Linked DNA regions of Kluyveromyces lactis. The protein of the gene in region 1 interacts with the protein of each later gene in a biochemical or structural test. Links are inferred from orthologs where the notes say so. Each region holds a gene or a part of one and is shown in the gene's direction. Other genes may lie near its edges.

The links. The genes of interacting proteins can lie anywhere in the genome.
Region 2: the proteins of UBI4 (region 1) and MET4 form a complex in vitro, tested with the Saccharomyces cerevisiae proteins (2 studies listed by BioGRID). The link is inferred for Kluyveromyces lactis from reciprocal best matches to the Saccharomyces cerevisiae genes UBI4 and MET4.

Annotation. Positions count from the first base shown.
Region 1 is NC_006041.1:74,448-77,379, reverse strand, and holds UBI4 (ubiquitin), read left to right. Parts: upstream 1-1,286; coding exon 1,287-2,432; downstream 2,433-2,932. Other genes in the region: ECM29 (Ecm29p), read right to left, coding at 2,696-2,932. UniProt on the Saccharomyces cerevisiae protein: Ubiquitin exists either covalently attached to another protein, or free (unanchored).
Region 2 is NC_006039.1:1,125,504-1,129,368, forward strand, and holds MET4 (Met4p), read left to right. Parts: upstream 1-1,235; coding exon 1,236-3,365; downstream 3,366-3,865. Other genes in the region: SNAP receptor VAM3, read right to left, coding at 3,517-3,865. UniProt on the Saccharomyces cerevisiae protein: Positive trans-acting factor capable of stimulating the transcription of the MET genes from the methionine biosynthetic pathway. MET4, MET28 and CBF1 are required for full induction of MET25 and MET16 gene transcription.

The DNA of each region.
Region 1 (2,932 bases):
CGCCTACGGCAGCCTACATGCCTATCAGAGAACTTCTTGGACTCCTTACTTAATGAAGTCCCTTTCCTCGGATGCTGAATGGAGAAAGACCATACAGCTCAATATGATGGAAAGTGTCACCTGAGTATACGACAAAGGCGTTAAGAACACCGCTATCATAAAAAGAGTCGAAAAAAAAGTGTCATCTAGGACTATAAGACAAGTAATATCGAAGAGATTCTGGGCAGTCCGAATTATCCCGCCAGGAACCTCAATGACAGAGATATTTGGCCTGGGTATGTTCCGGGAGCATCTGAAAGGTCAAGAATGAATTTAGGAGAAGCCAGGCAGATAAAATATGATGTATGTTACCCTGATTTAATCACGTGGATGACTTCGAGTCACTTTTTTCGTCTGTCTGTATCTTAGATTCTCCCCGCAAGTCTAAAAAAAAAGGATAAACTTCATTGTTCCATGAGTTTCCATGGTTACCTCTGCATATACACACTGTACTGCAGAAGGTATCAGTGGATACAAAGCGGTATGCTCTTTACTCTGAACAATCAAAGTTAGCAGTTCATTCCATATATCCCCGCTCTTCGTCATGCAATCATAAACCTCAAGTCATGGCGATCTGTAAGCCGGAGAAAAGATTCATTGCAAACAGTTAAAGATACAAGGCTGAAATACAGAGATGGCTGCAACGTAACAGATTCCAAACTGCCGGTTTTCCATCGAATTCCCTCTCGGGAAATTTTTCTTTTCAAACGGCCACCTTAGGCCGAGCGAAACTGATTACACTGGATGCTTTTATATAAATAGTGATCACTTGGGCGGCCGCCTTTTTTTCTCTCGTATTTGCCACTTCTGATTGTTCTTTCCCCCGTTTATTCTCTAAATACGTTTATCTTTTTCTAAGATATTATTCGGGTTAGATACTATTACTACCTATATCGCATTCATATATCTATTCTGAAAGTTTGGACAGCATAGCAGCTATCATTATTGTTCTTATTTTCATTTTTTGTGCTATATTCTCCGTTATTAGTAAGAACTGATAGGGAGATAAAATAAAAGAAATAAGCGAACAAGTTCCTTTTTTTTTAAAAAAAAAAGGGAGTATATATAAAAACAAAAGGGTTATTTTGGCAGTTTGTTTCCTGATATTATTAACAACATCATATTGGTTAAGAAGGAGCATCAAGAGTTTCTCTCATAGAAGATACTGACTCAAGGTTATACTATTTCACCCCAAATTATTTACCCCCCCCCCTCTCATTCCCCTTAAAACTAGATCAAGAGAAAACATGCAAATTTTCGTTAAGACTTTAACTGGTAAGACTATCACTTTGGAAGTTGAATCTTCTGACACCATCGATAACGTGAAATCGAAGATTCAAGACAAAGAAGGTATCCCTCCAGACCAACAAAGATTAATTTTTGCAGGTAAGCAGTTGGAAGATGGCAGAACCTTGTCTGACTATAACATCCAAAAGGAATCCACTTTACATCTTGTCTTGAGATTAAGAGGTGGTATGCAAATTTTCGTCAAAACCTTGACTGGTAAGACCATCACTTTGGAAGTCGAATCTTCCGACACCATCGATAACGTCAAGTCTAAGATTCAAGACAAAGAAGGTATCCCTCCAGACCAACAAAGATTAATTTTTGCAGGTAAGCAGTTGGAAGATGGCAGAACCTTGTCCGATTACAACATCCAAAAAGAATCCACTTTGCATCTTGTTTTGAGATTAAGAGGTGGTATGCAAATTTTCGTCAAAACCTTAACCGGTAAGACCATCACTTTGGAAGTCGAATCTTCCGACACCATCGATAACGTCAAGTCTAAGATTCAAGACAAAGAAGGTATCCCTCCAGACCAACAAAGATTAATTTTTGCAGGTAAGCAGTTGGAAGATGGCAGAACCTTGTCCGATTACAACATCCAAAAAGAATCCACTTTGCATCTTGTTTTGAGATTAAGAGGTGGTATGCAAATTTTCGTCAAAACCTTAACCGGTAAGACCATCACTTTGGAAGTCGAATCTTCCGACACCATCGATAACGTCAAGTCTAAGATTCAAGACAAAGAAGGTATCCCTCCAGACCAACAAAGATTAATTTTTGCAGGTAAGCAGTTGGAAGATGGCAGAACCTTGTCTGACTATAACATCCAAAAGGAATCCACTTTACATCTTGTCTTGAGATTAAGAGGTGGTATGCAAATTTTCGTCAAAACCTTGACTGGTAAGACCATCACTTTGGAAGTCGAATCTTCCGACACCATCGATAACGTCAAGTCTAAGATTCAAGACAAAGAAGGTATTCCTCCAGACCAACAAAGATTAATTTTTGCAGGTAAGCAGTTGGAAGATGGCAGAACCTTGTCTGACTATAACATCCAAAAGGAATCCACTTTACATCTTGTCTTGAGATTAAGAGGTGGCATCTAATGGTAAAGATTTATTTCATATTTCCGATTACTGGAGTGAAACTCGATAGGGAGTTTATTAACGAGCTTGAGACCACGCAAAGCCGTTGTATCATTTATACTCAATTCAATTTTTTTTTTTTTTGCATTTTTTTTTTTTCCTTACATTCTTTGGATAAAAAGTTTAGGGTCTTGTATATATTATATACATTTTCAGAGATACATAACAACTATGATAATGTTATAAATAGTAGAAGATAGTAATATATCATCCGTTGGCAATTTCTACTGAGATATTCCAATATTTAAAGCTTCAGCTTTCAATACTGAGGAGTCATCCACTCTAAGAATCTCCAAAATGCCAAAGTCGACCATGGTATTGGTGTGGGGGAACTTTTCTTTCAATAGCCCACCATACCTTATCAGCTTTATCTTGACACTTTCAATAACTTCTTTCTTGTTGCATAGAGCGTGGCCATATTTCCAGATATCAATGAAAATGTGAGATACATCATTTGAGGA
Region 2 (3,865 bases), on another chromosome or scaffold:
ACCGAGAAAACTACGGAGGGAAATTCTCAGGTGATAGGAAGGAACGGAGATAGAGCAACAAGGTAATCTATGCAAGGAGCAATAGCTCTTACTTACACAGATGATCAAATTGTGTTTTACTAGCCGCAATATCGTAGCCGTTTTATCCTGCTAATAGAATTGTGTCTCTGCTGCTCTTTTCCCGTACCAACCCGTATTTACCCTCACTATGTTTCTTTTTCATTTTTCCTTTCCAGTTTTTTGTAAAAAAAAGAAAAGCACAGGAAAATGGAAAAGAAACATGGAAAAGGAAACTTTAATCCGTATTTCACGAAACAGTAAGAGCAAACTGGTAGGAGACAAGAAAGTTTTTTTGATATGCATAGGTCAGTCGGGAGATATTTATCGCACCTCCTGTTCTTGTCCTCGATAATTTGCGATGGGGTCTTGTCGATTCCCTAGTTTACGCTATCTATCAGATTTTCATCTCTGAAGATTAGATTACAAGCTCCTTATCTTGAAGGAAGAAAAAGACTTGGCAAACGCAGGTAACGACCTCAAGCAAAACACAATAATCAAACGGCGATCGGCAACCGGCGGTCGGCATTAGTACTGAAAGATCAGGTATAGGGAGAGCATCGGATGAGTGTTTACTTGCTGTGCTGGATTTTCAAACTGTCACTAGTGTGCTGTTTTTTCTCTTTACGATATGTATAATCATTCTTTAGATCAGCGAGCTTTTCTATCTGTGTGAGAGCATCTACGCGGTAACACTCCAGCAATAAAATGCGGGGTTGCTTACTGACTCGAGAAATGAGAATGTAGGCACTAATACTGATGGATAAATAAACATTTTTCCGCGGGTGATCGCAGAAACCGGAGGAAAGCAAGAAAAGAAAAAAGCGAACAACACGAGGGAACACAAATCACGTGCTTCGTATCACGTGCAGTTTGTACTGTGGCTGATGTAATGTCTGTATCCGGGTAATTTTCTTGTCCGGGTAATAGACGTTCCACAGTTTGGTGATTACTTTTTTCTTCTTCTTTTCCCTTTCCTCATTTTTTTCCCGACTTTTGATGAAATTGCACGAGACCTGAGCTGAAGAATAATACAAACTAAAGTATTTTCAATCATCGTCTACTGTTGATATCAACAGCATCGAGTGAAAGGCCACATTCAAATTTGAGCCTTAGTTCCAGGGAATAACGACAGTGAATCTTTATTTATCGAGCCGGCTTCTCTCATTCTTTCCGCTATGAATAGTGGAACTTCCAATAATCTTAAGCGCACTGGTAGCAGCAGTAGCGGTGTTGGTGCAAGGAATATGGATAATCATATTCGAAATCCTAATGATAGTCATCCCAGTCAAGGTATGGACAACATTTGGGGGAACAGTCCGGAATTCTCGACACATTCTCCATCTACCGCATCGAATCACTTACATTCGTTGATTAACCCCCCTGCTGATGTGAATAATGATGTTACCCCTAGCATTCTTTTGGAACAACTAGCGTTTGTTGATAATTTTATTACTGATTTTAACTCTGACTTTGGACCCAATGTGACAAATTCTTTTTACAACAATGAGGGACCTCATGGTGACACTGTAAATTCATTTAGTGGGATGCCCTTGAATCATCAAGTTGGTGGTTTAAGTGCAGATAATCAGCTCGCGATGGATGAACGTTTAGCGGCGGAATTGAGTGTTTTCGCAGATGAGACTTTTATTTTCCCAGATGAAGACAAAGCTGATAGACATGATAGCGATGACAACGGCGACCATTACAACAGCAACCATAACTTCGGATTGAACAACAATGCTAATCCTAGTACTAATGATAATAACATCGACAATAACAATAATAATAACAGTGGTAACAATCATAATAGTAATAATAACAATAATAATAATAATAATAATAATAATAATAATAATAACAGAAACTCTTCGGAAAAGAGAAACTTGTTCGATAGAAAATCAAACCTGCTGGGAAACCAGTATGATCATACGCGGCAACGGTTTTCGAGGAAAAGGTCATCGACACAGAATTCTCCGATCCCCGATCATGGAGGATTTACACACTTTGATGTTCAAGACCAATCCAATAGTCATAATACAGGCAACCTAAATGGCACAAGTGCAAACCGCCAACGAGATATGCCGTTTGCCACTTCCCCACTAACAAATTTATTAGCCGCATATGATTTAACTTCAATGTCATATCCGTCCAATACCACTGTATCGTCTGCCTCTTCAATCGTCAACACAGCTAGTAACCATGGTAATAATCATGTCAATAGCAACGAAAATCCGTATCGTCCAAGTACGGCTGCAACATCAGGATTTGAATCAAATATACAGATGCCAGACTACTCTACAATACAAACTGCGACTTTGGTATCATTGTTGCCTATCATTAATGTTCCCAGAGGTGCTTACCAGTCTTTGCGTAATGTTGGCTTTAAACCAGAACAGATTGACGCCATAGCTGCTATTATGGCTTATTATGAAAGAGAAAGAGAAAAGTTTGATCCTCCTGTGAGGAAGCCAACTAATTTAAATAATCACTCTACAAATAGACCACCATCGTCAGCTTCCCATCTGGGCTCATCGATAGATGTGAATTCGCAAAATCAACTGGTTCCTGAACCTCAAGAACATATTCAAAGCTCCGTTGGCATGCTATTGGATTTTTTGCATGAAAAACCTGAGCCATCTCCTCAATCAAGTGTCCATAAACCTAATCCAAAAAGAGCCAAAAAAACTCCAGTGGAAAAAGAGTCTAGAGTTATTGATACATATATGAAAAACTCACCGAAAGTGCACCACGGCTCAATTTCTAACAACATAAAGAAAGAAAGCGAAGAGAATTCTGCAAAGCAAACACTGGATGATGGTATCAGTAAAACACCAAAATCAGTTGTCAGGAAACTAGAATCAGCTTCCTCTCTTAGGAAGGATGTAACGTCTGCTAAATTGAAGGAAGAGGTGAGACAATCGGAAGAACTTCTCAATGACAAGGAAAATGCTGCTAAGAGTCTCGATGAGAAGATAAACGAAAAAAAGCATAATACTGATTCTGATAAAAACAATTCCTCCAGTGATGGTGTAGAATCGTCGTCCACTTCCTCAACCCTTTCTTCAAGACCCAAACTGCCGAACTTGGATCAAACTAAAAAACTTAAAGAGAAAGAAATGGAAACTTGGGTCCAAGATCTTTCACAGTTAGCTTGTGACTTGAAGCAAAGAATCAATACCCTTGAAATGGAAAACAGACTTCTCAAAAATCTTGTCATTGAACGTGGAGATCTCAAGAATGTTGAGTCTTATGAACTATCCAAAAATAACTCCTCCGAAAGCACTAAAAAGGATACTGACAAGTAAGCTATGATTAATAATTAGTTGTAACCTCTAAGTCGGACATATTTACCTGATGATGCGTGTTCTCTAAAACGTAACGTAACTTTCATCCAAGTATAAGGCCAGAGATAAATTTTGTATTAATATATAGTTACATTCCTCGTAGAATCTAACCCTATGATAGAATCGCGATAAGAGTTATTAGAGTGATAACAACAATAGCTACTAGAAGTATTGTACCACATCTGTTCTTTTTCCTTTGATATTCATTTGCTTTGTGAAGTTCTTTGTTCGCCTTTTGCAAATTATTAGATAATCCTGTCACATTTTCGCCAATTGTGTCAACTTGTTCGCCCTGTTCCTGTACCAGACTTCCTAGTTGTTTGAAGATGGCATTGACCTCTTGCACAGCAGAGTGGATTTTTGATATGTCCTGGGATCTTTCATGTTGAATTATCGTGTGAAAATCTAACTCATCCTGATTCAACAAAGGCTCTTGCTGTTGGGTAGACAAAAGTAACGGA